Astyanax mexicanus: one gene and its partner. The protein of the gene in region 2 interacts with the protein of the main gene of each other region in a biochemical or structural test. Links are inferred from orthologs where the notes say so. Each region holds a gene or a part of one and is shown on either strand. Other genes may lie near its edges. The genes, in order: SLAM family member 9-like and inpp5d.

Evidence for each region.
Region 1: the proteins of inpp5d (region 2) and SLAM family member 9-like interact in a biophysical measurement, tested with the Homo sapiens proteins (2 studies listed by IntAct). The link is inferred for Astyanax mexicanus from reciprocal best matches to the Homo sapiens genes INPP5D and CD244.

Annotation. Positions count from the first base shown.
Region 1 is NC_064411.1:1,560,774-1,577,558, forward strand, and holds the start of SLAM family member 9-like, read right to left. Parts: upstream 8,554-16,785; 5' UTR 8,490-8,553; coding exon 8,432-8,489; intron 4,985-8,431; coding exon 4,694-4,984; intron 2,752-4,693; coding exon 2,500-2,751; intron 2,408-2,499; coding exon 2,282-2,407; intron 1-2,281. UniProt on the Homo sapiens protein: Heterophilic receptor of the signaling lymphocytic activation molecule (SLAM) family; its ligand is CD48.
Region 2 is NC_064412.1:48,002,823-48,018,839, reverse strand, and holds the start of inpp5d (phosphatidylinositol 3,4,5-trisphosphate 5-phosphatase 1), read left to right. Parts: upstream 1-8,810; 5' UTR 8,811-9,114; coding exon 9,115-9,254; intron 9,255-11,073; coding exon 11,074-11,137; intron 11,138-16,017. UniProt on the Homo sapiens protein: Phosphatidylinositol (PtdIns) phosphatase that specifically hydrolyzes the 5-phosphate of phosphatidylinositol-3,4,5-trisphosphate (PtdIns(3,4,5)P3) to produce PtdIns(3,4)P2, thereby negatively regulating the PI3K (phosphoinositide 3-kinase) pathways.

The DNA of each region.
Region 1 (16,785 bases), on a different chromosome or scaffold from region 2:
ATTTATGACTAGGACTAATGAAACAAAAGTGGAACTTATTGGAAGGTGCGTCTCCCGTTACATCTGGTGTAAAACTATAAACTAACACATAATTTCAGAAAAAAAGAACATCATACCTACAAACACATAAAACATGGTGGTGGTAGTATGATGGTCTGGAGCAGCTGAAAAACTTGCTGTGATGAATGGAACCATTCATTCCACTGTCTACCAAAAAGTCATGAAATGAACTTGGGTTCTGCAGCAGGACAATGACCCAAAACACACCAACAAGTTCACCTCTGATTGGCTGAAGAGATACACTACACTGCAAAAAAATCTGTTGGCAACACTAGACAAAATATATGTAAATTGAGACGCAAATGCCCTAAATGAGTAAAGTAAGACTTAAATCAAGCCAAAATTCCTCATTTTGTGGGTTAAATTTATATAGAGAAAAATCTGAATAACTTGACTCAGTAACAGTAAAGCAATCTTACAAAAACAATGCTTATTAAGTCAAAAATTCTTCTCAGAGAAAAATATATCATTTCACTTGCTAAGATTTTATTTTTTTTTTGCAGTGTAGTTAAACTCCTAACCTGAATCCTTTTGAGATTACTACATTTCTCTAAATAATATTGAAATAAAATTCTCCACAGTGCTGTGAAAGACTCACTGTGAGTCACTGCAAATGCATAGTGGAACAACCAGTTATTAGATTTATAAAAAAATAAAATAAATAAAAATCTTCATTTAAAAAATACTGTATTTTGTGTTTGACTAATATTTAAATTATTTTGATGTTCTTAAACATTGAAGAGTCAAACATGCAAAAAGAAGAAGAAGAAGAAGTAGAAGAATCATGAAGGGGTAAAAAGACATTTTTCACCCCGCTGTGTTTAAACCTCAGCCTGGTGTTGCTACAGCAGATGGTGGGCTACAGGAACAGGAAACCCTAAACCGACGCTGCACAGAGTGAGTCAGAGCCGCGTCGTGAGTGTGAGTTCACTAATATCAGTAGTTATTCTGTGTAATTGTGCTCTGTCTTCATTTGAACACAAAATGACGAAGAGTTCTGCTTAAATCACTAAAGATCATTAAAGAGGATGTTTATATTTAATCATTTGAATTAAAACAATCACTGTGTTTAATGAAGCGTAAAACCTGTGTGAAATCTGCTGTCCAAACTATTTATTTCATCTAATAGTGTAGAAAAACAAATTGTGTTTCTTCACAATTTGATCAAAATTGATCAAAAAAGTCTTAATGGTCAAAGTTTACTTTGATTACTTACTTTCTTTTCTGATGATCTGAATGTATACAATTTATACATTTCCTTTAATATTGTGCAAAATACAAAAATACATATTTTCTTATTGATGGCTTCTAGAACATCTGGGCTATAAGTACTATAAAGCATAATGAATAAATCTACTGTATTTGGTGAAGTGGTTGGAACACAGTTTTGACCTTATATAGTCACAGCAGTGTCTTCAGAAGCCTCTGTTCCTCCTGCTCTCTGTCTCTCACAGTGAACTTTAGTCACCGGACCCCGATTTCCCACAATGCACCTCACAAAACGTCTTACAAACAGTGTGTAACACATTATTACGCATATAGAGGAATATTAATCTTTACTTTAAATACTTTATATACATTTTACACAGTTTTCTGTGGTGTGGTGGTGGTTAAATAACCAAAGGGTTTTTTTTTGCACAAGATGGTCGCAATGCTCTTTGCTATCTTACACCCCGTCAACAGTCTATTTTCATGCCTTGCCCCCTTGCTGTTAAAATAGCGTCAGAGTTTAGGAATGTATCTACACTGATGATATGAGGTGTGGTGGTCTGGAAGTGAGGTGTGTTCAGGTAAATTGCTGGAGTGTTTTTATCTTGGTAGTGTGAAGTACAAGTGCGCCACGGACTGATTAAAACCCTGACAACTGTCAACAGTCAGAGTCCAATCCTATCTTCACTGCAAAAAATCCATTGGCAAAAAATTGACAAGCTATATGCAAAATTTTCTTAAATGAGCTGCTAGTGTATCTTCACTGTTAAAATGCGAACGCGCCAAAGTCAGAGCTCACCTGCTCTTAAAGGGAGTGACTACTGACACACTGATTTGTGGTTTATTTCACATTACACCCAAAATTAACCACACTCAGGATTAATTAAGAGAATTAGTACATGCCTTTTGCGCATTTCAAGCTGTTAAAGTCATGTAAAATCGTTTTCATATCACCAAAATTTACAGATAATTAGAGACTAAAAAGCAAAAAAATTGAGATAAAAAGCAATACCTTTCATCTTTTTTTTGCAAAAGTAGGCGATACCCAGGACAATCAGAATCAACAGAACTCCCACGACACCAATCAAGACGTACAACAGCCAATTCCACTCCTTCTGCGGGTCCCCGGGTGGGTTCTCTAATAGGAGAGAAAGGTTGGTGATGATGATACAGAAGAAATACGGTTTAATTTAAATAAAGAGGGATGTGTTTGGTCGAGTATGTGTGTACCTCCAGAATCACAGCTTTGTAATGTTATTTTCTCCTGCTTCCAGCTGACTGGGTTGCTCAGGTTACAGATAATGAGGCTGTCTTTGATTGACAGGAAGAGGGCGACGCCTCCAGGTGATGTCACGTTCTTCTCCTCACAGGTTGTATTATAACAGGTGGTGTTAATCCAGAGGTCGTGACCTCTGCAGGTGAGGGTGATGTTACAGGAGTCAGCACTTTTATAGAGAGTCAGAACTGGAGGCTCCACTGGATCTGAGGTACACACACACACGAGTTACTGAGCTGCTAATAAACAGATAATAAAAGCATTACATCATTACATAATCACCAACGGTTACCAATAACAACAACATGCTTTTATACTGTATTTAGCTGTCTAATCTACATTTAAAATAATCAGCATAATTATCTTCATTAATTTTTAATTTTTTATAATAGGCATTATATAGCCTGTAACTCTCTTTAGTGTGCATGAACGTCTACGCATAAAACATCCACAGACACACATCCAAAAAAATAAGACCTACGATCAGGTTTAAAAAAATATTTTTCCAATACAAATAAATCTTTGATTAAATGGTCTAATATCAATTTAAAGATCTTCAGATTAGTATTTTAAAATGTTTCTATTTTGTACAAAAGCAAAGCCATAATAATAGTAATTAAAAATGCAAATGTATTGAATTCATTCTTTATGTAAAGTTTAATGTTTTTAATAATGGTAAGTTCAGGTCTCTTTTTTCATATCCAAACAAAACCTCCTACTGTAACTGAAATATCACTAAATTAATCAATATGGAATGAAATCGGGAATTGAATTGAGAAGTTGAATCAGTAGTGCCTCCCAGCCCTAAAACTACTTCATAAATAATACATTTGCATGAAAAACAGCCTCAAAATTCTAGCATTAACCATTAACTGAAAGAAACTTCAAAAAGTCATGATGCAAAAACTGCAAATGTGCAGCAAGGAAAAAAAAATACATACATTCGTATTTGGATGTTCTAACAAATCAGTCAGATGTGTATCCAATAAAGAAACACATGTAATTGGTGTATGGAATTATGTTGGCTCTTGACCTCCAGAAATGTTTCAATAACATACTACAGTATTTTCTGGGATTTTTTATGTAAATAATAAAATAGGGGAATATTAAAACCCCATGAAAACACTGCTAGACTAAATAAGAAACAAATCATATTTTGGTAAGTAGAGTGGTATGGTTTGGTTGGGCACCTCTAATAATTTGTCATATTTTTGTACTTGATTTTCTGTATAAATGCCTTAGTGCTTTAGTAGATTAAGAGCAGTGTTTAGTGTTTAGTGATTAGGGTTGTTGTCTTGTTAAAGTATCCAGCCCCGGCACTTCAACTTCAACTTTTCTCACTGATTCTTCAACATTGTTCTGAAGAATCTGCTGATTTTGACTGGAATCCATGATCAGTACCTGCACTGATCCCACCAAACCCCCACAGCATGATGGAACCGGCACTAATTTTACTGTGGGGAGCAGTAACGTGTTGGAAGTTGGAATGCTGTGATCTTTTTTCACCAATTTTAGCTTCATCAGTCCACTGAACCTAATCCCAAAATGAAGCTGTTCATCTAAATGTGCTGTTAGCTTTAGCATACCTGAAGCGACTCTGTTTGTGTGCAAAGTGAGCTGAATAGTGAATAGTGAATAGTGAACGATGAACAGTGACTCTATTATCTGCAGCAGTAAGATGATGATGATGTTATAGATGTTGGAGTTGGTCTGGAGGTCTGTAGGTTCACTATAACTGTTCTCTCCATCCTTCTCCTCTGATTATCTGAGATTTTTCTTGTTCTGCAGCTTCAGATCTTTATCTAGAACTGAGTCTGTGGTTCTTCCACTTCCTCACTCTGTTCCTCACAGTGAAAACTGGATCATTTCACTTTTCAAATATCACTGGGTTCATCTGCTATATGGTATATTTAACTGAAATAACTGATCTGAACAACCAGTGATTTATAAAGGAAAATCCTGAACATTATATGGGGTGCCCTTCATAATGATACAATACATTTGGAAAAACAGCCCTACTTAAGGCTCATACATAAAACTTAGACATGAAAAGATTGCCAAGCTCAAAATCATACTAAATAAATTCAAACGATTTGTTTCATACCTAGATAAAAGAGAAAAATCCCTCAAAAAGTACAAAGCTCTTACCCCACACAGTGAGATTATACTGAGCAACAGTTGTTTCTGTTTGACTGCGCGTTATCGCTTCATACAGTCCACTATCAGTCTTCTGTAGATTCTTCAGAGTCAGACTGTAGGTTTCCTCATTAAACTCCACTCTGTCTTTATAAGGGTCATGCTTAATAATTTTACCTTTAGAAATATATCTCAGAACATTATTATTATTGTGTTTCCAGATAAAGGAAGAAAATGTCTGTTCTTTAATCTGAACGTCCAGCTGTACAGAATCTCCAACCTGCACAGACACATCACTGGATCCTGCAGAGAAAGAAGAAAGATAAAACCACTAGGGTTATTTTCTGGTGAATTTGTACTTGCCATCTTCAATAAAATGCAGAGAATATATAGTATGAGGTCAAGCCTATCAAAACCTTTACTTGTTGAAGTACATGTCGTTATACTGAGTTTAAGGTATACATTATTACTAATCCTTTCCAAAAAGAAAGATCAATGAGAGGTATTAAGAGTCAAGTGGTGCTCTGTTATCTCTCTTTTATGGTGGGAAGAAACCGATATCAATCAACAATCAATAGCCTTAAACTAATCTGTGTTTATGTAATATAATAATATAATCAGTTCCATGTGGGGTATGTATGGGTAGCCCATTTGAAAACCAGATTTTTTTTTCCATGGGTCCTATGTTGCCCCATTGGTTGTGTTAATACAAATCAGCCATTGCTGAAATTCTTACATAAAGCTGCACCATTGCACAAAGCAGAAATTGCTAGCTGGACCAAAAGATAGGTTTTTAAATATCTTGTTGAAGAATTGAGGTGAAAAAAGCAAAACGAGGCCAAATTGAGCAGTAATGTGAGCTAAAACACAACTATGAAATTTTCTTGGGCCCAATTCCCTTAGTGAAAAACAATAAAAAAGTAAAAGTATTTGCCGTTTAAAAGCTGGTAAAAGACAGTAAAAGCTGAATTATTGTGTGGACCAATCCAGAGTTAACCAGATTGTGTTCAAATGCAGGAAATTCAGTTTAATTATCACCCTCTGAACGTGGTGTATTAGTCCACAAGCTCACAAACACAGAACTTCTAAACAACTGAAGGCCTTTCTCCCATTCAGAAGTGTTAGAGGCATTTTTAATGTGGGAGGGGGCACACTGGAGGGGGGGGGGGTGGGGTAGGAAGTTTGGTCTAGGGGACTTTGGGGGGGTGGTGTTCTAGGGTTCTTACACTTTTTCCTTTTCTCTCACTCTTTTATTTGTTCTCTCTCACTCACATTTGTTCTCTTTATACCTCCGATACCTCCGACTTTTTTTCAAAATATCAAGTCTAAATGATATGCGCTTGGTGGGAACTACTTTTTCTTCCGCCTGGGTCAGTGAATAATGCGTAAGTAGCAGTGTTGGGTACGTTACTTTGAAAAAGTAGTTAGTTACAGTTACTAAAAAAAAAGTCACTGCACTAAAAAAAATTAGTTACCAGTAAAAGTAACTATTGCGTTACTATTGCGTTATGTCAATTTTTGTATTCAAAATATGTGTCTATTGTTATGTACAAACAGTCTAATCTGCTTTAACTGTTAAATTAACATATTTAAATTGTCAGCTACTATTGTGGCATTTCTTTATTCATTTAAACTAAAAATTAGTTTGTATTCTCTTATCGTAGGCTATTTGGAGAGACTACATTCATAGTTGAATCTAAATAGGATTAAGCACTCAGAAAACCCCAATCATACTTCCAAGTTTATCATAAATTAATAAATAATTTGGATACCTTGTATTATTTATGAAGCTATGATTTGAAACACACAAGATTTTATGAGTTACCACACATTTTTCTCAGTATCTGATTGGAAAGACATTCAGTGGTATCCAACATCACTAACTCTTCTTCTCTCTCTCACTCTCTTGCTGTTGATCTCTCTCTCTCTCTCTCTTTCTCTCTCACGCTCCTAACCCCGCCCCCTCAGGCTTTTGATTGATGGGCAACTGAACCAATCACTGTGCAGCAACTAAAAGGCTATAAAACAATAAAACAAACAAGGACAAAACAGATAATCCACATATTCTGCAGTGATTGTATTTCTAAATGACATTAATTGAAATTAGCCTTAAGCAATTATCATTTGCTTGTTTTTTCATTCATACTGTACATCCTCTATTTTAAAACACATTACGATTCTATTCAACATCCCGATGCACAACAGCCTCTATGGAAGATTTTTTAAATATATATTTGCATACACTTTTCTACATCAGACTTTTCCCATAGTACATGTATTAGTGCTTAGCTGCTTAGAGCTTCAGTGTTCTCCTTGTTCCTGCATGGATTTTCTCCCACAGTCCAAAATCAGGGAGATCAGTTTTATTTTTTACTCTAATATTGACCTAATGGGAATACATTTTTTTTTGTCTGTATGCCATAGAAACTCTACACCAGGAAGGGACTTGAACCCAGGACCCTATTACTGAGAGGCAGACCTGCTAATCACTAAGCTACCATGCCACCCAATTGTTTTAGCTCTTTGGCCCTATAAGTCTTACTATTTCCTGTACAGTGCCACCTGGGAAAGAGCTGATCACTTATACACAGTTATGGGAAAAGACTGTTGTAGAAAAGTGTATGCAATTATTAAAAACTGGATAAAATGGAGCTAAAACTGAAGGTAGTAAATGGACATGGAAATGCTGAATTAATGAGTTCTGCAGCAACTTTAAACACTTTAATTATAACTACATGTGCTCCTACTAGGTTTGAATAAATAACCTATAGCTACCTTTGTTAATTAGTACATTTAAATTTTTTATCCAACCCAGCTGGCATTTCAATGTTCAATTAATGTTGATTAATGTTGATGTGATGGTTGAATCAACGTTGATTTTAAAAAGTGAATCCACGTTGATATATGCAACGTTGTTTCAACGCCATACGTTCTACTTTTAATGAACCATAGCTCATTAAAAGGAGACAATCCTATTGCAGTTAGTGCAAATGGAAATAAAACACTTTTTAATTCCTCCATCCAACCGTTTTTAGAAATTATATGGTAATAAAATGTAAAATGCTGACATTATGTTGGTTCAACGTTAAAACTTCAACATTTGCACAACCATTTAACATTAAATGTTGATTCAACTTTGTTTCAACATTGAAACAACAACAGACATTAATTTAGTTATATTTTAACCACACTTTAATGTTGAAGGTCGGTTGTGTGCCAGCTGGGTACTCTCACTCATAACAGGTACATTTAAAAAAAATAAAATAATAAAACCTAAAAAATGACAGAACACGGTCATTAAATCTCTAGAGTGGATTTAGATTAAGCTGCACCGCAGACATTTGTGTGACCGAACAATGCAGAGTAAAAATGAAACTAAAGGTGGGCTTTCTGAGGGGCGGTTTTCTGCAGTGTTCCATTTTAAACTGGAAGATCTCAGTAGAAAAAAAAGTGTGAAGATCAAAAGCTTTCAGAACGCTGAACCGTGAGAAATACCCATCTCAGTAAAACATCACATTCTAGCAGCTTTTCTCTTCACTATTTAAATTTTAAACTGTTTAAAATCTCATTTTCAACACAATATTATACATAACAATCAAAATCACAAGTTACAAATTATTAAAAAGTTTGTGTTCGTTTTACAGAAGTTTAATTCAGCTCAGATTTTTCAGTAGTTTGATGAAGATCACACAGTTAAACTGAAGTAAAAGTGAAAGACTGTATAAAAGATCAGAATATACTTTATCTTACCGGTAATTACGATGAAAACGCAGAGAAGGGAGATCAGCTGTGTTACCCTCGCCATCATGCTGCATATGAGCTACTTCCTGTTCAGAGGAGGAAGTAGTGTGAAGGAGGAGGGAGGCATTTTAAACTGATTTTTTTTCATGAAAATTTCCGTAGTTTTTAATGTTTGTGACATTAGTTGGGGAATATCGTATTCAACTGAGCTCTGGATAGCACTCTGAACTTCTGCTCCAAACTGACTGATACTTTAAACTATAAAATGACATTAAACTGTAAAGTTTTAAAAGCTTTTCTGTTACTTGTAAAACTTAAAATAAAGAGATAGAAACAGAGAAAATTGCTGTTCAGGAAACAAAATAGTGATGATTACGCTGCATTAAAATATATACAACGTAGTTCAGCCACTGTCTAAACATACAAAAGTATTACAATAATCACAGCACTTATAAAAAGGGTCACAGATTGACTCTTTAGACACAAAAAACACCATATGGGTCTTACAGGCCAGGAGGCTCATTTATGTCTCTTGCATTTTGTTGTACTGAAGGTAAAATATTAAACAAATCTGCTAGAGATGGAGTTGAAATATTAGATTATTAAAATGCAAAACAGCCTGAGGAAATGTTTCACATTCAAACAGATTATTTCCATTTGAACAGAGAAAATTATCTTGTGGTTTAATATTTATATTGTGATATCATATTTATTATTATATCATATTATATTTTTAAGGTCCAAGCACGTCGTTTTTTGTCTGGTTTTTTTCTTCGTATTATTATTATTATTATTATTATTATTAGGGGTTCGAGCACGCAGTGTTAGGAACCCTATTGTTCTGATTATTATTATTATTATTATTATTATTATTATTATTATTATTATTATTATTCTTTTTCTGCCATAGAAGTGATTGGGCAGAAGAAACCGTAAGGCCTACAGGGCTGAGACTTGGTCATATGGTAGTACTTCTCACCGCTACTCAGATTAAAAAAATGAGCCAGATCGGCCTCAAGGGGGCAAAGGTCAATGCATTAGGCCTTGTAACTCCCACGCCCTGATAGCTAGAGCAAAAATTATTTCATTAATTGATTCTGTGGTTTATGGCAAATCCAAAAAGTAAATAGAAACACTAAGCTCCGCCCACTTAGATTTTTTGCTATTTAGCATATACTGACATGTTTGGTGTCAAACAACTCAGCAGAGTGTGAACCTCAATAATTATTGAAAAAATCTTTAAATTTTTACACAGTATGGCCGCCATATGCAAATTGGTGTTACCATGGCACACCCACATTTACTCTAACAGCTGTAACTTTTGAATGATTAAACCGACACTAATGCCACTTTAGATCTTTGATGCCAACATGATTCTGAGGTAGCCTGTCAATCTGTGAAGACATACGCCCCCAGGGGGCGGAGCCAAAGCTAAAAATCTGTTTCTCAGGAACCATACAAGCTATCAAGCTCTCGTTTGGTAGTTATAATCTATGGCCTATGTCCTATTGGTATACTGAAGGAAATGTTGATATGAACATTTTTGCGATCGCTATTAGCCAATCAGTTTCAGCAAGCTTTTGACAGGCTAAACAATGACCAAACAGGGCGATACTTATACCCTACATGTATATGAGGGCCTTTTATCACCCATACAGCAATATGTTTTGAGCCTAACTGGCCTTAAGGGGCCTCTTTGCCTGTGCTGCTCAGACCTCGTAAATCGCCGCTTGCGGCTATATTTATTATTATTATTCTATTACATAAAAATTAATGTTATATAGAATGTACTGTAACATTATATTACATTATATAAAAGTCTACTTCGCGAGACAGAGAGACCTTACTAACCACAGCTCCCTTTCTCTGGCGAATGTCACAAAAAAAGTTATCTGTGATTAAAAGGCTCATAAAAATATTAATCAACAATAATATTTATGTATATTACTTAAATGTTAATATAATTGTCACGGCCTCGCTCTGGTCCCCTGTGTTTCTCCTGTAATTTTCCATCACGTGTGTCTAATTTGTAGCTCCGCCCCTTCCCCAGATGTTCAGTGTTTCATGTTCCTATGTATAGTACACTTTAGTTCATGTTTATCCGTCGTTCTTTGCACCTTCCCGTGTTGTTTGTCTCGCCACTTTTATGTTATAGCTGATTTCTTGTTCCTTGGTTATTTGTATTTTCATGCTTTTGTTTATTTCTAGTCACGTTCATTTCCTGTTTGTTTCATTCTTTGTTTTGTACATATTCACGTATTTATCCCTGTATATATCCCTAACCCTGTTTGTTATTTTCTATTTTTTGTTACTCCCTGTTTGTTTGTTTATGTACATATATATATATATATATATGCCGAAGAGGGGGGGGTAACTGTTGGGGCTATCGGCTTCGATACTAACCGCGGGGGTGGCAAGGTGGGCAGCAACGTGGGCTGTGAGGACCCCTACTTCTGGGATTACGTGGACCTCCTCGCAGCAGCATCCAGTTCGGAGGAAGAGTAATACCCTCTGATGCGAGCCCGCTTGCCGCTTCCTCCGGGGGCTGTCCTGCAGCCGAATTTCTACGTCACGGAGCGATCTCCAAAAGCGCCGGTCCTCAAGACGCCGCCTCCCGCCACCCGCCTCCCGCCTCCCAGGGCGCCCTCTGTCTCGGCGGCAGTTCAGCTAGCTTCAGCAGCTAACCAGCTAGCATCTCCGGCGGCTGCAGCTCCAAGCTTCTCCACGGCTACGCGGCTAACTCAGTTAGCATCCCCTGCTACCACGGCTCATCTCTCTCCGGCTGCAGCGGCGCCCGCTTCTCCGACGACTTTAGACCCAGCTTCCATGGCGGCTGCTGAGCAGCGCTTCAAGTCACATGCGGCAGCAGCATATCTTCGTTCCAGGGTTTCCATGGAAACGGCGCTACACTCCCCTGCCCCGGAACCTGAATATGCTGCGGTGAATTCAAGTCAAGTGCTCTCTCCAGCAGCCCAAGTCTCCACGCAGACACCTACTGCCCAAGGGTCCAAGTCTGTTCACGTGAGTGGTCCTTTGTGCCCACCGCCAATGTTCCTGTGTCAGCGGTGCCCACCGCCAATGTTCCTATGTCAGCGGTGCCCACCTCCAATGTTCCTGTGCCAGCGGTGCCCACCGCCAATGTTCCTGTGCCAGCGGTGCCCACCGTCCATGCTCCGATGTCAGTGGTGCCCATCGCCAAAGTTCCTGTGTCTGCGGTGCCCACCGCCAATGTTCCAGTGCCGGCGGTGCCCACCGCCAATGTTTCTGTGCCAGCAGTGCCCACCGCCAATGTTCCTGTGCCAGCGGTGCCCACCGTCCATGCTTCAATGCCAGCGGTGCCCACCGCCAATGTTCCTGTGCCAGAGGTGCCCTCTGCCCATGTGCTGATGCCACTGGTGCCCACCGTCTATGCTCCTGTGGCAGCGGTGCCTACCACTCCAGCGCCGACGCCAGCGATGCTTGTCGTCACGCCGCCATCCCCAGCTGCTCAATTCGCCGCGCTGTCAGCTCCAGCTGCCCGAGATGCCGCACTGCCAGTTCCTGCTGCCTGAGCCGCCGCACCGCCAGCTCCTGCTGCCCGAGTCGCCGCGCCGTCAGCTCCAGCTGCTCGAGATACCGCACCGCCAGTTCCTACTGTCCGAGTCACCGCACCGTCAGCTCTTGCTGCCCGAGACGCCGCACTGCCAGCTCTTGCTGCCCAAGACGCCGCACCGCCACCAACTCCTGCTGCCCGAGTTGCCGCGCCTCCAGCTCCAGCTGCCTAAGCCGTCGCGTCGCCATGGTGGTCCTTCACCACACCCACGCCGGTTCCTGCACCCAGGACTAAGTTCCGCCCCAAGCCCCGTGTGCCCAGGTCTGCCCCAAGGCCCCCGGATTTCAGCCCAAAAACTTTGCCCAGGCTGGCTAGAACTACCCCTCTGACTTTAGCCAGTCCTGGGCATCCCCAGGTCTTTCTTGTCCCCATGTCTCTTCCTGTTCTGGTCCCCGTGTCTGTCTATGTTCCTGTTCCTGTCTTGTCTGGTTTTTCTGTGCCTGTTCCTGTCACCGTCTTTGTGTCTGTTCCTGTCAATGTTTTTGTTCCCGTTCGTCCCATGTCTAGTCCTGTCCAGTCACCTGTCATGTCTCACGTCCAGTCATCGTCCCCCTGTCCAGTTTCCCGTCCAGTCTCCGGTATCGCCCATGTCCAGTCCTGTCCAGTCACCTGTCATGTCTCACATCCAGTCATCGTCCCCTGTCCAGTTTCCTGTCCAGTCTCCTGTCTCGCCCAATGTCCAGTCTCCAGTCACGTCCTCGGTCCAGTCTCCTTTCTTTGTCCAGTCTCCTGTCTTGTCTTCAGTTCAATGTCTTTTTATGTCAAGTCCCCGGTCTCGTCTCTTGTTTTTCCCGGCCCCTCCACGCCGCCGGCCCCCGGGGTTTGGTTTTACGCGCCTCGGGAGCTGCACGATTAGGGAGGGGCTTCTGTCACGACCTCGCTCTGCTCCCCTGTGTTTCTCCTGTAATTTTCCATCACGTGTGTCCAATTTGTAGCTCCACCCCTTCCCCAGGTGTTCAGTGTTTCATGTTCCTATATATAGTACACTTTAGTCCATATTTATCAGTCGGTCTTTGCACCTTCCCATGTTGTCTGTCTTGCCACGTTTACGTTATAGCTGATTTCACGTTCCTGGGTTAGCTAAATAAAAAAGCTGGTTAGCTAACTTAACAATCTGGTTAGCTAAATAAACAAGCTGATTAGCTAACTTAACAAGCTGGTTAGCTAAATAAATAAGCTGGTTAGATAACTAAACAAGCTGGTTAGCTAAATAAACAAGCTGGTTAGATAACTAAACAAGCTGGTTAGCTAAATAAACAAGCTGGTTAGATAACTAAACAAGCTGGTTAGCTAAATAAACAAGCTGGTTAGCTAAATAAACAAGCTGGTTAGATAACTAAACAAGCTGGTTAGCTAAATAAACAAGCTGGTTAGCTAAATAAACAAGCTGGTTAGATAACTAAACAAGCTGGTTAGCTAAATAAACAAGCTGGTTAGATAACTAAACAAGCTGGTTAGCTACATAAACAAGCTGGTTAGATACATAAACAAGCTGGTTAGCTACATAAACAAGCTGGTTAGATACATAAACAAGCTGGTTAGCTACATAAACAAGCTGGTTAGCTAAATAAATAAGCTGGTTAGCTAACTAAACAAGCTGGTTAGATACATAAACAAGCTGGTTAGCTACATAAACAAGCTGGTTAGATAACTAAACAAGCTGGTTAGCTACATAAACAAGCTGGTTAGATACATAAACAAGCTGGTTAGCTACATAAACAAGCTGGTTAGATACATAAACAAGCTGGTTAGCTACATAAACAAGCTGGTTAGCTAAATAAATAAGCTGGTTAGCTAACTAAACAAGCTGGTTAGATACATAAACAAGCTGGTTAGCTACATAAACAAGCTGGTTAGATAACTAAACAAGCTGGTTAGCTACATAAACAAGCTGGTTAGATACATAAACAAGCTGGTTAGCTAAATAAATAAGCTGGTTAGCTAAATAAATAAGCTGGTTAGCTAAATAAATAAGCTGGTTAGCTAACTAAACAAGCTGGTTAGCTAACTAAACAAGCTGGTTAGCTACATAAACAAGCTGGTTAGATACATAAACAAGCTGGTTAGCTAACTAAACAAGCTGGTTAGCTAAATAAATAAGCTGGTTAGCTAACTAAACAAGCTGGTTAGCTACATAAACAAGCTGGTTAGATACATAAACAAGCTGGTTAGCTAACTAAACAAGCTGGTTAGCTAAATAAATAAGCTGGTTAGCTAAATAAATAAGCTGGTTAGCTAACTAAACAAGCTGGTTAGCTAACTAAACAAGCTGGTTAGCTACATAAATAAGCTGGATTGATAACTAAACAAGCTGGTTAGCTAAATAAACAAGCTGGTTAGTGTTAGTGTAGAAAAGAAAATGAAAGGTGGGCTACCCCCACCTCTCGTCCGGGGTACAACTCCCCTGCGTGTTCGTTTGATAGAGAGAGTCGCAGACAGGTGGAGTGAAGCTGAAAGCAAACCAAGTATTTATTACAAAGTACTGAATATTCAGGAGAACCCACACATGAAAGACCGTCTAACAGCCGTCCCAGCATAAGTTCTGACCCCCCTCTGATCTGACTCCATGTTTATACCCCAAATGACGTGAAACCTGCTGATGAGGCGTTGCTAAAATCATCTCATGTTAGCATGCGTAATTTCACGTGTTAGTAATCCGTTTCACGTGTCTGACCGGACCATCAGTGTTTGGCCTTGACTGTATTCTTCCAGAATGGAACATCGTGGCACTATCTGTGTGTGTGCGTCACCCCCCGCTTTGAAGCAGAGGTTTTTAGGCAGGCACTCACTCACCAAAAGGCCGCTTTGATCTAAGAGCCTTTTCTGTAGCAATTTAGCCCCGTACCAGTCGAGTTGATGACCGTTAGTTAGGGTCATGCAGTCAACAAAATACTTCAAGCCTGAGCTACATCTCATATGTTATATGTTAATGTGTTAGTAACGCGTGGTTAGTCCGCCATATAATAAATCCTATGTGTTAGTAAATGCCTTATGTATCGTGTGGGTTAATTTGTCATATAATAGAGTCTGTGTTAGTCACATGCCTGATCAAACAATGTTTTACTATATATGTAAAGAGTATATTGTGAGTATTGGTTAATCTTCTATATAAATGCGTGTAAAATACACTGTGAGTAAAAATGATCAAATACAATGTGAGTATTGGTTAATGCATATAGAATACAAGGTTTCACACAATGATTATGTAATTATAGATACTAAGATAAGTAATCATAACTGAAAGATATTTGTCAATCAACCCAAAGTATAATAAACAGTTACTCTTCATTAGATAACTAAACAAGCTGGTTAGATAACTAAACAAGCTGGTTAGCCAAAAGTTCGTAACTTACGGCCGAAGTTCTCTGGTGTTACGCCGAAAACAGTTCCCTGCTAATCTCTGCAGCGGTGCCGGGAGTTCAGTTCACCCCGCTGTAGCATTAGCTTAAAGTTAGCATTTTTCTTACGACCCTTAAACGATCTCGAAATTCAGAGGATACGGTGATGTTCAGGAGTAAAATGTACACAGAATAAAGCGTACAGGGGTCTGAACAGATTTATTTACCACAGAATTTGACAGAGGCAGATTTTTAAAAACCCCATCATTTTTCTCATAGGGAAAAAACGCTTAGACACAGAAGCCGTAGGAGCGCTACAGAATGACGAACGACTTCAGTGGTCCAGTACCAGAGGAACATATTTTCGTTTCTTATATTGGGTTTGTTCATCTCACTTCTGAAAATTCACCAAAATCTATAATTGAAAGGGATTTTTAAAATAAATTCTCCTAGGTGATCATACCCCTGGACCCCACTTGACATTAATGATATTGATTATACACAGGCTGTTTACAAGTTAAAAGTTTTTAAAAAAGTGTTGAAGTGCTTTATGTCTGTCTCTGTTTTATCTAAACAAAGTTATGATTTCTCAAATTTGGAATTGGGTTTATTGATTTCTCAAAGTGAACTGTTCTTATTAATATTTGCCTCTATTCAGCCTCTGTGATTGGCTGGGCAGTATTAGGCGTGGGCTGAAAGCGAGAGTTGTGATTCTATCCTTCTATTCATTTACTCCTCTTCTCTCCACTCCTCTTCTTCCAGGGAAGGAAAGAATGAATAACAAAAGTTTCTGGACTTTTTTACAACACGCCCATTTTTCCCTTAAGAAAAAAAAACATTTTAGTATTGTTAAAAAAAAACTGTAGTAGTAAAGCTGTAGTGGTGGAACAGATGGAGTTACTGCTGTTATTCTCTACTGCAGCTGCATTTACACATTTACAGCACATTCACACTTTTATCATCATAATAACTAGAAAAAAAACTAGATAAAACACAGAGAACTCTGTAACTATTAAAAGTAGAAGTTCTTTCTTTTCTTTAGAGAAATTACAGATGAAATCAGAGAGTGGTGAGTACTGTTTCTACACCTTCAAATAAAGACTCTTAGAAACTGGAGTTAAAAACTGCTACAGGAAGACGTCTGGCTGACCCACATGGAAACAGCAGCTTTAGCCTTTAGCTCAGATTAACATGATTAATAAGGACTGAGTCTCAGTTTCAGCAGAGAAGAGAATTAGAATTAGAGTTAATCTGACAGGAGAAGAAGAACTGCAGTAATAAAGTCATTTATAAGATAAAGATAATATTAAATCTGCCATACAGCACTGCAGCTACTGGACTCTGGTTTTACTTTGTAAAAGATGAGAGTAGCAGATTGCAAAATTTGAGAAGTTCAGATCCTTCCCACAGCAACAGTAACAAACAACAGTTGT
Region 2 (16,017 bases):
TATGCAACCAATATAATAAAAGGTTTCTCCAGAGAAATTTGTTTTCACATTTTTTTTGTTTCATATTTATGTAGCTAATTGGTAACATACCTTACGTAGACTGATCACAGTTTTTAACCTTCTATAGTAAATGAACAGGTTAAATAAAATTATCAAGCTATTAACACTGTTAAATAAAAATAAATAAAAATGAGCTTGAATCAATGAATTTGAAAGTTTTCGGTTTGTATTAATGCAGCCAGCATTGCTTAGTCTTTTTTCCACATACAATAAATACATCAATAAGTATCGGTTTGAAATACTGTACAAAATAATGGCAATTATTAAAAAAAAAATGGTTTCAATATTTCAATTTCAATATAGCTAGTGTTCCAATATATGTCAAGCTGTTTTATAATGGCACCACTGATACAAGTCCCAACTCAGTTTTAAAACTAAAAAAATGACATCTCTGATAGACGTTTGACTAGTAGAAACTCTTACTTCAGATATCATCTATAAAATGTTTACTAGTAATAATATCAGATCCACATATCTATAAATTCTTTATAACTAGTATTAGTTTACCACTGATTTACATGGAATTTCTCTTATCTTTTGGGTCCTGTACGAATGACTAAAACTATTACAAATGCTAAAGATATCTCTATTTAGTTCTGACAAGTAATGTGCATTTAGGATATGTACCGTTTATCTGCATAACATAATTGTAGAATTCTAGAGAATTTTGGATAGGAATTGTAATGTTGTTTTTACTTGTCAGAATTAGGAGTCGAGATTACACAATTTCTACTAGTAATAAAGTGGATTTTATTAATAAAATGTAATTATAATTTACTGAGCATTACAGGCATGCTGAACATGATATTTTACTAGTATAGATTAAGTTATTACTGGTATCACTGGCATCATTTTACTTTAAAAGTAAATTAATATTTAAATATGAATAATCTAGCATTGCTTAACTTCTGTACCTTTGGTTACTGTTGTGTCTGTTAGAAGTTAATGAATGGATGGATATAGTTTAATACAAATTATAAAGAGAACCATATGTTCATTTCACACATTCATGATGAACAGACTTATCCTTCAGTCCTCCTCCTCCTTTAACTTAACCCCCTTATCTATAACTCTCTAGTGATGCTCTTGTTCACTAAACCATGATTTTTTTTAAAGGTTAATGTTTACATGAATTAAGGGTATATATGAAGTGAATATGAACATTGTCAGCTGATGCAACTTTTCATTTATTCTACTAACAAAACGTGTCAACTTGGAAGTATATGAATTATTATTTAACTTGAATGTTTCAACTTTTGGCAGAAAAAGAAAAAACTTATTCATGCATTAATTTGACTTTGCAACATATAGTATATTGTATCTGATATCTAACCATCTAACCATATAAAATTCATTTTCTACCAATATAAAATCAAGCATGTATTCTCATTATGTAATAGCCATTGTTTTCTTTGTAATGGATCATTTGTATTGTGTTGTATTGTATGTATTGTATTGTATCTTATGCCTGTCATTTCACTCATGACCTGCTTTCACTTTTTATGTAAATGTAAGAAAAAAGAATGATAATTTCTTCATATTCATATTTTAATTTTCATGTATCTTTAGTTCTAATTCTAATATTAGGGCTAGAATAATGTACCACACTTTGTTTTATGTATTATATTATATACTGCCAACGTACGGTGCTATGCAATTCTAATTATGCCTTTTGCTAAAATTTGTCTTATATATTATGTCTTATATATTAAATCACCTCAATGTGCTTATTGTTTGTGAAAGGCTGATTATACACTATTTATTATTCTTTATCTCTGGGTGTGATGTTATGGGCTTTCGTGTTGTTGTATTTCAGTATTGCTTGTATGATACGTGCTAGATGCACTGTTTTGCCAATATATTTGTAATCATGGTGTAAATTAAACTCTTCTGTATTTTTACGTTGTGTTTGCTTTGATACTAATGCTTGCGGGTACATTTGTATTATGTAAAGTTTAGTTTTGCCAAGTAATACAAATATGTCAGGTTCCACCTTACATTCCATAGTTTATTTTATATACAGAAACCTAAGCTCATAACTCAAAACCATTTTCTTAGTAATTAGAGAGTTTTATCTGAAAGAAACACAATATATTAACGAATAAACTTAAATACAGTAAAAAAATTATGAAAAATTTACCTTTTTAAGACTGGAGCTCATATCCTATCAGCTAGTCTGAAGGTTAAAGTTTGGTTCCAGATTTATCCTGGATGCTCTGCCCTCAGCCAGCACCCCCAGTGAATGTGGATCCCATCAGCAGCTAACCTAATTTACCATCATTAAGCTCTGATATACCATACAGCTGCTGATATGATCAGAATATAAATAATACAAGACTCTATGAAGAGTAATTCTTTTTCTGACAACTTTTTAATTCTACTCCATACATGTTCACACAATTATCTGAACTTTCTACTCCTTACATTGTAAAAATAGCCTCCTATTACTCCTATGTCATTTCAGCTTGTTTCCATTCTGGCTCATCATCATAAAAAATCCCTATCCAGATGAATCTCTTCATCCAGATAGAGTGAATCTGATTGTGGTTGGATGTAGAGAAGTATAAACAGATACCATTCTGATATGCTGTTGGTTTAAATATGATCCATCACACCAGAACACATCACGCCCCCCACACTCCAGCAGACGTATCCTTGTATGAAGATGTCAATAGCAGCAAAATGTCCCAACTGTATTTGTCTGAAACAGGTTGCCTAGTGCATTCCAAAGTTTTCAAAGAAGTATTTTAAACTCTAGTATTTAAACTTATACCTGAGTAATTAGGATTGCCACCCATCCCGTAAAATACGGAATCGTTCCTTATTTGGCAACTAAATATTGCGTTCCGTATTGAACCAATGGCATCAAATCAAATCGTTTTACTGTCTTATCACAGTTATACAGTTGTAGAGGTAAAGGTAACACTTTATAATACTGTTCCATAGTTAATAGGTAACTAAGTAGGAACTAAGCAGTAACTAATTAATAGTGCTGCATTAACACCTAAATATTTGAAAGTTCTCCAGAAGGCATCTAAGACTCTAAGAATGACTGTAAGACTAATAATGTAACAATCATTGCTTTAATACTAGGTATCAGCCTTATAAAAGTGCATCTTCAGCGTTTGCAGTCTCACAGAGATTTATTTTTACTGCGCATTATTAGGGCAATTACGGTAATTTCACAGCGGACGCAGCTCTCCAGGGGCCTTATTTATAAAACTCTGCGTAGGTTCTGGAGTGAGAGTGTGCGTACGCACAAAAAACAGGAAATGGCGTTAAAAAAGCGTTAATGGCGAAATGGCGTTTAAAAAGTGTGCGTACGCACACCTGAACGCAGTTTCCTCTTTATAAATCACAATCTGCTTATAAATGTGCGCAGCTGACCAAGCCTCGCGCTCCGCCTCCGTACCGCCCACATTTACCCATAAAAGGTCCATGCAAATCACCCAATGAATAATTAAATGAGTGATTCCCCATTCATTCTGATCGGGATGATGGAGGAACGCAAAGCAAAGAAGCGCAATTTTGGAGATTGTGACGTGGAAGTCCTTGTTTCAGAGGTTGAGGCAAGGAAGGATGTGTTGTTTGGTGGCCTTAGTAGTGGCATTACCAACAAACGCAAGTTTGTTGAGTGGCAGCATGTGGCTGCAGCAGTAAACAATGTGAGCTCCACAAGCCGAACTATTGCAGAGGTAAAGAAAAAGTGGTCAGATTTAAAAGTCAACGCAAAGAAGCAAATTGCTTTGCACAGAAAAAAATTAACTGCAACTGTAATCAAGTAATGCCAAATTACTTAATTAATTACTCAAGTAATGCCAAGAGCGCCATTATAACAGACAGTGCCTCACTATTTTCTGCCTATTTATAGAGCTGTTATTTTATGCAATTAGGTACAGCTGTTTATGATCGTAATTATCTGCAACTATTACAAGCCCTTAACACTTTCCTCTCTATTTATTATAGAGTATAATTTGTTGCAATAATAATAATAATAATAATAATAATAATAATAATAATAATAATATTTATATATATATATATATATATATATATATATATATATATATATATATATATATATATATAGCACCTTTAGATTTTACAACTGTGAGATTAAACAGATAATACAAATAAAACTGAAATAAACTACAAAGCGAAATATACAAGTTAGTGGAAAATTAACACTACATATACATATAATACAGAATAAGATACAGAAATAATTTTAACTATACATGCAGAAAAAAAATATTGAAACAATTAGGTTAAATGTGTGTTAGTTAGCAAGCTAAGTTAGCTAGGGGAAATGTGTGTGTGTTAGCTAGGTTAATTGTGTTAGCTAGTTTAAATGTGTGTGTTAGTTAACTAGGTTAAATGTGTGTGTGTTAGTTAGCTAGGTTAAATGTGTGTTATTATTATTATTATTATTATTATTATTATTATTATTAATGTATATTTCCCTTTATAATACTGTGACATGATCTGCAGTAACTCCTAAAGAAGAACACAGTAACTCCTCAGAAATTAGTAATTAGTTAACATGTTTCTCACTTTATAATACTGTGGTATGATCTACAGTAACTCCTAAAGAAGAACACAGTAACTCCTCAGTCATTAGTAATGGGTTACCATGTGCTGCTGTTAACTCCTGAAAAAAGAAGACAGGGACCCCTTATTAATTATCTATGAAGAACACAGGGATGCCTAGTTCGTTATCTAACACAAATATTTATTCATTTAAACATGATTTCCCCCAGAATAAGGATGTAGGACACAACCTACAGTAAAGCTGTATGTGAGCCATCACTTCTACTGAGCACATCTCCAGGAGGACTGAAGAAGAGCACAGGTTTAGAATAAACACCTGTAACACACTGACAGAACATTACAAAAATGGGGGTTAAGCAGACTACTGCACATTTCAGTGTGTCTAACATTTGGAAGATATTGAGGATACTACGGTAAGTAAGGTTAATATATGATAGGTGGTGTCACTGACTTTAATATCACCACTGATAGAATAACCTGCAGCAGCAGATAAACACACTGATAGAGGCTAGCGGTCCGGCGCTGTGGAATTACCGTAATTACCCTAATAATGGGCGCTAAAAGTCTGTGAGACTGCAAGGCTAAAGATGAACGTGTATAAGGTTGGTGTTGAAAATTAAAGCAGTGACCATTAAAACAAAATTGAGTACAGTCAGTCTTAGAGTCTTCTGGAGAACATAAATAATGTCTACTCTGTAATAATATTACGTTATAAAGTTATTTTTTCTTTCAAAAATGGGGTTTAAGCAGATTACGACACACTGTAGTATTTTACTATATGTTGCTAATATTTGGTAATAAGATAATGATGATAATAAGGTGATTAATGTTACTACTACTACAAATGGTGTCACTCAAATATGCCTTTAATATCACCACTGATAGAATAATTGTTTGTGTAGACTGATTTAGATCTATAGTTCCCCAGGTGGCATGTAAGGGTTTTCAGTAGTTAATGTTGATTTGAGCAGTAATTAATAAGTAGTTATTATAAAGAAGACATAATTAGTAAGTAGTTCTTCAGGAGATATGTAAGTCTCAGTAATTATTGTGAAGTTAATAGTGAACTACTATAATCATTAGTTTAGTACTATCTACTGAGTAATTATCCAGTACTCCCTGGTAGTTAATAGAAAATATTTAGGTGTTAATGCAGCACTATTAATTAGTTACTGCTTAGTTACTGCTTAGTTACGTATTAACTATGGAACAGTATTATAAAGTGTTACCGAGGTAAATGACAATCTTGGGCGCCAGATCCATTATAGTAGAACACAATAAATACAAACAGAAATATAAAAATTTTCACACATAACATTAGAAATGCTAATGCATACAAGCTACTGGAGTGAATAATGAATATGGCCTGGGCTTACTGGACATGCTGGTAGACTGCACATTTATTGGCTTAAACAGAGTCCCAGTAGTCAATATTGTGTGTGTGTGTGTGTGTGTGTTTGAGTGGGTCACACTAGGGGGTAGAGTCAGGCAGTGTATGTATGGAGGTGAAAGAGTGCCCAGTGTTAACGTGATGCATCACATGAACACTTACAGAGGGACAATCAGCAGAACATTCACGCTTTCAGTCCCACTCAATCTGTCTCCTCAATGCTGTAACAGATCATGTGACCTGTCTCACATTAACAGCCTAAAAAAGTTTGTTCATTTTTAATTTACTACGCCATTTGAATACAGCAGTTTTACAACACCTATTTAATTTTGAGTAGACCAATAGAAATGCTTTAATATTTTTAAAGGTCTCATTCCATCTTTTTTTCATTCATTTTAAAATGTCTAGTTGTGGTCTCTAGTACGAATATGCAATGTGAGCCCTTTATTGAGAAAAAAAGGGCTCAGGTGTTTCTATTTAGCCCTGCTTTAGATCACTGAATTAGAGGTCTCTGAAGAAAGACTAACAGCACTGCAGCAGAGAATACCTAGCTGCCTTACCCCCACTGTCAATTTTACAGCTTTAAAACTCAAAGGACAAAATGTTTTCAGAGATACAGCCTTAGTTATAAAGATATAGCAGTGAGTGCTAGATAAAGTTAACTCTTAAACTTCACTTTTGCAAATAGAGACTGCCCGTCATGATAGCGTTCTCCCCGCAATTAACCTCCTACCCACGGCAGCAACGCCACTATCTCTGCTGCAGTGTGAATAACCCCCTACCCACGGCCGCAACGCGACTATTCCTGCGACAGGGGGAATAATTCTCTACCTGTGGCAACGCAAATAACCCCCTATCCGAGATGTCACTATGCCCACGGCAGCACGATTACCCCCGCCACCCTCCCAGTGCCATTGATTAAGTTTCTTTCAGCTTCACTAACGCTACTAAACTCTTACCTCAGACTTGGTGATTCGGTGCATGGGCAGTTTCACCACAGGACAGCCCCAGTTTCTGCTTTATATGATAAAATCTGATGCAAATGGTGCCCGCTTTGACCCCCTACCTGCAGCAGCGAGAATAACCCCCTACCCGCGGCAGCAAGAATAACCCCCTACCCGCAGCAGTGTGAATAACCCCCTACCTGCAGCAGCCATGCTGCTTTTCTCGCGGCAGAGTGATTCCCCCACCACCCTCACCCTCCCCCCTCCCAGCCTGACCGCGTTATTGATAATGTTTCTTTCAGCTAAACTAATGCTACTAAACTCTTACCTCAGACTTGGTGATTCGGTGCTTGGGCAGTTTCACCACGTCGAAGCCCCAGAGTCCGCTCCATATAATAAAATCGGACCTGAACGGAGCCCGCTTTCACAGTGTAAACTCCTGTAAACTGACCTAAAGATACTCGTATAGAGATACACTGCCTGGGCAAAAAAGGTAATTCATACACTGGCACACATTTGCTGTGGCATAGTTTCCACAAGCTCCTGCAATGTCACAATATTTATTTCTGTTGGGAGTTTTATTAAATTGTCCCCAAGATCTTTTATTGGTGGTGGGAGATTTGGAGTCTTTTCCAATAGATTCCAAATATTCTCAATGGGGTTCAGCATAGCCACATAAAGTGTACTTTTTTAAAGTATATTGTATGTATTTTGTATGTAGCTCAAGCTAACTTTTATTATATTAAAATATAACAAAATGCATTTGGTCAGAAGAAATGAGCATGTGAGAGAGAGAGTGGCAGGATGGAAACAGTTTTATTTTCATGTGATTCATACTGTGGACTGTCAGTAGATAGTTCCTGTCTAGCTCTCACACTTTCTTTCTCACTGTTCATTTCTCTTTCTATGCCTCACAACCTCTGTTTCTCTCTCATCCTCTCTCTCTCACACACACACACACACACACACACACACTGTTTTCAGCCACAGCATAAGCCACATTCGGCTTACATTCTTGACACTGATTGGTGTGTAGAAGGCCGTGCTGCGTAAGGCAGTGGCATGTTGTCATTCCGGGGAGTTGCCTTTGCAGGTGTTGTGCCAAATTCTGCCCCCTGTCAGAGTTTGACTCAATGCTTTGAGTGCAGGTATATCCCACAACAGAATTAGCATTCCAGATTGCCCTCAGATTCCTTTTATTTTTGTTTATTATTAGGGTTAATCTACAGTTACTGTAATAGGTTGATGATAGCCTGGCTCTAATAGATAGATTTTGTGTAACTGGTCCAGGGAAGTCTGAGCCATCTAAAAAATAACATTTTACACTGTACCATGGATCAGTTGATCTGGACTGGGACCACCATATTTGATTGGACCACAGTTTGGTTCTTTGGTCAGGAGCATGGTTTGTGACATCTTTCCCCACTGCAATTTTGGTTTGGACCAAGAGTTTAGAGTTTGCTATGCTACAGAAATGCTAGACTTAAGCACTCATGAATAGATGCAGGCAGTTTTTGAGTCACAGTTTGTGAGTTTTTTGTAGGCCGGGCCGTTGTTGTTGTATGCAAAGGTTACATGAGATGGGTGAATATATTTTGCATGTAGAGTAAATATGAAATATTATGCTACAGTGTGTGCAACCCTGCAAACATCAGAACTTCAAAGCTACTGCACATACTATTATGCTATATGTGTTATACTGTAGCTCAGTGGACATATGGCACATTCTCTGTATTCACTTTCGGTATTTACTTAACTTGGTTAACTGCTAGGGTAACATACAAACCACTGTACCTGTACTGCTGTTGTGTGACCATACGAGCAGCCAGCCGCTCTCTGGCCTTCCTCTCGCCCTCCCTCTCTCTCTCTCTGACTTGTGCATGCAGAATGAGGAAGTTCACTCTCGCGTTTGTGGCAGCTTCCTTTTTACAGCTTTCGCCTTTAACAGGAAGAGAGACCCAGAGACAGAGAGAGAGAGTCAGCAAGAGAGAGAGAGACACATAGAAAGAGAAGAAACAGCACTCTGATGCAAACAGCGCCATGAAACGGGCCTTGAAGCGACACTGAGTGCGGCCTGTCGTCCCACGGAGCGGCTCCTGAAGCCCAAACACCAGTGATCAGGTGGTGGTCTGCAGAGCAAGCTGTAAAGGAAGCGACCGGGTGGACAGGATGTCATCCCACCAGCCGTGGTACCATGGCAATATCACCCGTTCCACCGCCGAGGACCTGCTGTCCAAAGCAGCAAAGGATGGCAGCTTCCTCCTCAGAGACAGCGAGTCCATACAAGGAGCTTATGCCCTCTGTGTGCTGTGAGTACTACAGTTCAGTTAATCCAATTACAATTATGCTTGTGCTATATCAAATTCCTGGACCAGTTGAAATAACTGAACTGATATACGGCAGTTCCAACCAGTTTAGAGCTTTTCTTTCCTGTTCTTACTTATAGTTCATAGACACTTTCGCTGTAGCTGTAATGGAGAAAACACAGCAAGGCCATTGATGCAGAAGCCCAGTTCTTTGCATGCCCTGTCAGTTATGTAAATTCGGGCATAACAACATGAACTGGAGACCAGAGATGCATTCACTGGCTCTTCTCTGTCTGTTTTCCATTAGCTGGGTTCAAATCAGGAACTCAAAACTAGTCGTCAGCTGCTTCTAGGACTGATTAGCTCAGGGGGTTTCAGTACTTTAACATGAAAAGCAAAGCATGCAGTAGCTGTAGAGGTTCTCAAAAGTGATGGACGTACAGCTAACTCAAGACTGTATGATTTATCGTATTTTCTGTAGATTAGCTTTTTGTCTTGCATGCAGAATACACTATGCTTTGTTAGATGTGCTCATGCAAATGCTGTCTACTAACAGAACATGTCTGCAGTAGCCTCTTATGTTAAAATGTTTAATATCACATAAATTACGACTACACAGAATATTGATTCTGCATTGTAATCGCTTTTTCCCCATGACATTTCTTCCAAAAATAGATATTGACTTAATAATACTTTTACTCAAATCTAAAATCTATAGAGTGTTTTATAATATCATGATTTGTGTTGTGTTACAAATAATATAATTTCATACGAAAGTCTATGTAACATTTATTATATTTATTGAGCTGCTCAATATGAAAAGAAACAGTTATATATAATGAGAAATTAAAAAATACATACATTTTTACCCGATTTTATTTTAGAAGCTAATGATCCAACACTCTGTGTATCGACAGGTAGTGTTTTGTAAATAATAATAATAATATATAATCTGCATCTGGTAGAAATGTCATTGAAAATGAGAATTGTGTGAATTTTCATTTAGCATCAAGCAGCAAAGAATTAACATAATGTGGTTGATTCAATTTGAATGTGATGTGACACTGCACTTCCTACAATGACACATATATTTCGGTGACAATGGTTTAAAAAAAAAATGTGCAGTCTTAATTATTTATACAGTCGATTAATGTAATGTAGTGTGTAATTGTAATGATGAGTGTATAGTAGAGTGATTATAATATTCTAATCTGGATACAAGATGAGATTGAGATGGTTGGGTATGGAGGTGTACAGGTTCTGTATGGATACTGCAGCACATTTACCCACAGATGATGCTACAGCTGGGCCTGTAGATCCTGCTCTACACTCGTAGGTTACTAAAGCTGTGTCCCATCTGATCCCGTAAATGCTGGATTGGTGATAAATCTGGAGACTGGTTAGTACAAGGAAGAGTTAAAATCTGTTGGAGACATTCCTGGGAAACTCTTGCTGTGTGTGGATGAGCATTATCCTGCTGAAAAATGCTATTAGTTGAAACCCTGTCATGGGAGGTAACATGTGTCGTCAGAATGTCTGTTACATATTTCTGAGCTGTTAGTGTTCCTCATATCACTACTGGGGTGACCGACTGTTGTATCTGATGCTCCCCGGATCATCGTATTAGCAGTTTGGGACAATGTGTCACTCCACAGCAAAGCAAGATTGGAATGCTCACCATGAGGTCTCCATACTCAAAACTGATTATAGAAAATCAGTGGGATGCCATTATATAAATCCCATTCATCTGAAATTTCTAAATTCCATTGATTATTATGCATCTTATTAGCTGTGACTCCTAAAAGGTTTGTTTGCTATGCAGGTACCAGAACTGCGTCTACACCTACAGAATTCTACCCAATGAAGAAAAGAAACTCTCTGTACAGGTAAGATGTAGAATGTAGAAATGAACTGCACTCTATATTTAACTGAAGCTGAACTGGAAACTGTAGGGATCTGAATAAAAGCCTGATGAATCACTAGTCTCAGTTCTCACCTTTGGCCTACCTGCTCTGATGGGATTTCTCATTTACTTTTCCAGTTATGAGGCATGGTGAATGTGTTGACCTGACCAAAACATTTTCGTAAATCATAGCAATTTACCATATAACATGAGTCAATATCTTAGCACATTTTATTACAACGACAAGCAATGTGATAACTGTGTGTTATTTGCTGAAAATAACAATGCTGTGAAATTTAAACCACAGTTAACTCATATCTGTTTTTTGGAAATATAGCATCAAAATTCACACTATCGTAGGGCTCCGAGTGGTCCAGCGGGCTAAGCCACTATGATTGGGAGATTGTTGGTTCGAATCCTGTTCGTGTAGCTTGCCATTGCCTACCAGAGCCCAGATAGAGCACAATTGGCCTTGCTCTTTCTGGGCGGATGAATGGCACTCTCTCCCTACATCATTCCAAAGGGCAAATTTGGCAATGCTGCATCAGCAGCAGTTTGAAAAGAGGTGGTGGCTGACTTTACATGTACCGGAGGAGGCATGTGCTAGTCTTCACCCTCCTTGTGTTGTGACATCACTAGTAATAGAGGGAGTCCTAATGAGTGTGTTGAGTAATTTGTAAATTGGGGAGAAATAAAAAAAATAAATAAATAAAAAAAAATCACACTATCGTTTAGCTGCAGGTTGAATTTGATTGCAGCTGTGCCATCAGCATATGATAGACTGGGAACCACATTCATATAATATATACACTCATCATCACAAATATACTGTACTGTAGTTGCACCCAGAAAGAAGTGTGGCATTTTGGTGCTATTCAGAACGAAGGTGAAATTTACTAAGAATAAAAAATTATTATGAATTTAAACTGATATGGGTAATATTTATTAAGTTACATACTGATGACTTATACTGAAGTTGTGTGTAACGCACGCGTAATAAAACTTCATGGGCTTACAGTGGTTCCTAATGGAGTCCTGAAATAATCTATTCAGGTCTGGAGATGCAGTTGACCATGGCATAGTAGCTTAAAGGCAGGCTCTAGAGGTGGTAGCAGTGTTGACTTGTTGGAATAGTGCACAAGAGTGTGGGTTTAGAAAAGGTTGGACTGTCAAAGTTCTTGTAATGAAGACTGGAGGTGATCTGTCATTGTACGAATTTGCACTGTAGACCATGACAGCAGGCCTTCTGGACTTGTAATGTGTAAAAACATACTGTTGCCTCCACACACGGATTTGTTGGTCATCTCCACCAAAACAAATGTACTTCAGGGACTCGTCAGTAAAGAAAACCTGCTGCGTTAACAACACCATTGATGGCATTGCATGGTGTTAAGAGCAGTTATTATTATGGTCTGTGTGCATATAGTCCTGCATATAGTATCCACTGACTTGAGTCACTAAGCGCTTGTCGGACAAGTTATCGTTTTTTGCACTTTGTAGCTGGTGCAGATCTCCCTGATCCTTTATATCTCTAGTAGTACATGACTTCTTCTATCCACTGATACCCAGAGCAACTTTTCTTTGAGGTTTAATACCTCACCTTAATACCTCAATCGATGCACCAACACAACACCACAAGTCAGAATAGAAAAATGTGCAACAGGAGGACCTTATTTAGTCAGTCACTTACAGTGATTAGCCCTTTCTTGCTTATGTCACATGCACATACACACTCTCATATACTAAAAGGCATTGGACAGAACTAGTGTTGAGTCCCATGAATTTTGCCATGTCCCATGGAAGCTAAAGAACTCTGGATTGAACTGTGGGATATATATGTTTGGGGTTTCCTGCATTATATGTGGATGTGATATCTTCCAGAGTCGTTTGTCTGTTCACATGGACAATTCTAACCTAAAACCGCTGGTCACCATCCTTACCACGCACTGCACTGTCCACTGTAGGTGGTAACAATATTATCTGGCAATACGATGTTAGAAATGACACAAAGATTGAATAAAAACGCAGAGATGCATCTGGTAAATGAGATTTTAATAGAATCTAACGCTATTGTTAACCTGATTGTGGAAACGTATTTATTGATATCATTGTAAGCCCAGGTGTATTTTCAGTAAAGGCCCATCGTAGATGACATGCAAATATCTACTGTTGTCTCTTGAGTTGCTTGGTTAACACAGTTGCATAGTTGCATCAGTGGCATTAATGGCATTAGTGGAATCGGACACCCAGCATCCTAAACCATTAGCAGCTGGGCTAACGCTGAACTTTTTTCTCATGCCTGTTGTCAGTTCAGCTGATTGTAGAAACTTATTTCCTAATATTAGTGTAAATCCAGGTGTATTTTCAGTAAAGACCCATCATAGATGACATGCAAATATCTACCGTTGTCTCTTGAGTTGCTTGGTAAACACAGTTGCATTAGACATGCAGTGTTCTAAAACCATTAGCGGTTTGGTTAAGGCTGAGTTTTTTTTTCTTATGGCTGTTGTCAGTTCAGCTGCTGCAGACGTTCTATAGATGGCATGTGGGTGTTCATTCTCTTTAGGCAGAACCCATTCTCCACCCTGCGTTACAGACACAGGGCTAACGGCGCGCTAGCACGCTAATGCAGCTGCAACACCACTTGTTGTTTTCATTCAAACTCCTCAGACTTGGAGCTGTGCTAGCCAGCTGCTAAACACATGATAACACCTCACAACAAGGAACAAAGACAATGAATAGGTCCTCAGATTGACTTCATATTTAATTAACAAGGTCAATACATATTACTTAATATGATTAATTTATTCGATTTTTATATCATAAATGTGCCGGATTTATCAGAACCCAGGTTGGACTGATACACAAATATGTTTTGTGGTAAACCATTGACTAGTACTAAATTTACTCACTAAAAAAAAAAAAAAGATAAAAAAGAAACATTAATTAGACATTCATTAAAACATATTGGACAAAAACAAATACAAAAATAATATTATTATTAAAATATTACAATTATGCAAATGATTTAACTTTTTATCTTATAAGTTTGAAGTTTGTTTATATACTATTTCAATCAGCTTGTATATGTTGTATATGGTAGAATGATGGTATTCAAGAACCATCATACTGCCTCTTTATTTCCCTCTGCCTCTAAAATTCATGAGTATTTTAAAATTAGAGCTTCATGCCATCGGAGGAACATGACCTTGGTGGGGGGAAAAAACACTCCGCTTAGATTAGAAGTTATTGGGAAATTCTTTAATAAGCTTTAATATAAAATTTCAAGAACAGCCTATCTTTATACTGATGAACTAAATATGGTTGGACTACCTCAGTGTCCCAAATCAGTGTGTCACTTGCCATTCCCTTTAAGAGCCAGGTGCGCTCTGGCTTTGGCAGATTGGTATTTTAATGGCGCAGCTACCTGGAAATACCAATAATTCTTAGTAAAGGAAACTGACCTTCTTGTTCATGCTGTGAAGATGCACAAGCAGGTAATTTAAGTAATATGAAAATAATGCAGATTTTGTTATTTCTATTCTGTATTTTGTTTATTATTGATGTAAAAGTTTGCATAGCTGGCAAAAGGGGGGCCTCGGATGTTTACAGTCAGTGGCACACCTGTGTATTCTGTTGCCAAGATAGCAATATGCCAGAAATTTACCTGAACAAATTTAATTTCCAGAACACTACACCCATCAGTGGAGATATTTTCAAAATCAGATTTTCGGTTGATATTTAAACGACACAGGCGGAAGGCGTAAAAATAGGCTGTTGGCGGGGTGTAAGATAGCAATGAGCATCGTGAAACACTTTGTGCAGGGTGTACGATAGGGCCTTTAATCTCTGTTTGGAATTGGATATCAGTAGACTTCATAAATTAACTCTTTTAACTACCTCTCTTTTAAAATGTCTGTTGTACGCATAATTCTGGATGCTAATAGGAAAACATAAGGATTGCTACATTTAATTTCAGTGCGTATAATTAAGCATGTAAGTTTTTGTTGCCAATGTATTGGCCTAGAAATAGTATTGATAATTGACAAAATAATGAAATAAATGTCAATGTTAGAAATATTTCAAAATGTATAAATAATTAAACAAATATGTTAATAGGCCCTCCTTGCTAAGAGGTCATGTTTGTATATTAAACATAAATAAGTTGATTATTTAATCATTGTAAAAGACCTAACTTAACCTATATCATCTGCATACATATGGACAACAACACCAGAAAAACAGGTGTCTGGAAGGTCCTTAACTTAGAAAACAAATATCAGTGGGCCTAAAATTGAGCCCAACCTCATAACCAATGTTTCTAGATGTATTGTATCTATAAATTATACCCATTTTGAACATCTTGTACAGAGTGCAATTCTTTAAAGTGCACTAAAGATCATGCAAGTTTGCACGGTGCTGCTGTTGGTTGATACAGTAGACACTCAGTCATGTGTAAAACTGCAGAAAGGCCTTTAATATCTCTCACAGACTCATCACACTTCTTCCTCTTTCAGGGCCGCAGTGAAGCTCAGCCTCAGTTTAAATTATCCTGCAGCGTGGGCGGCAGGCAAGCCACAGGGTTCCTCTTACGCCGGCCTGCATGGAAACTTTCTGAAATGCAACTTTTCAAATCTCATTAGGGTTATTTTAAAAAAGCAGCAGTTTTGCTGTACTGGTGACAGTGTAAAATATAATGCAGAGTGCGTGGGCGGCATTTCAAACACAGGATCTGCTTAGCTACTATCAGCAGCCATGTTGCGACGGGGGCCAACAAGATGGACGCCGCCCTGATATTAGCGCTACTGTAAAGGTCAAACCATTAAATGAAAAAAAGAAAAAATATTACTGTGTTCGAACCGT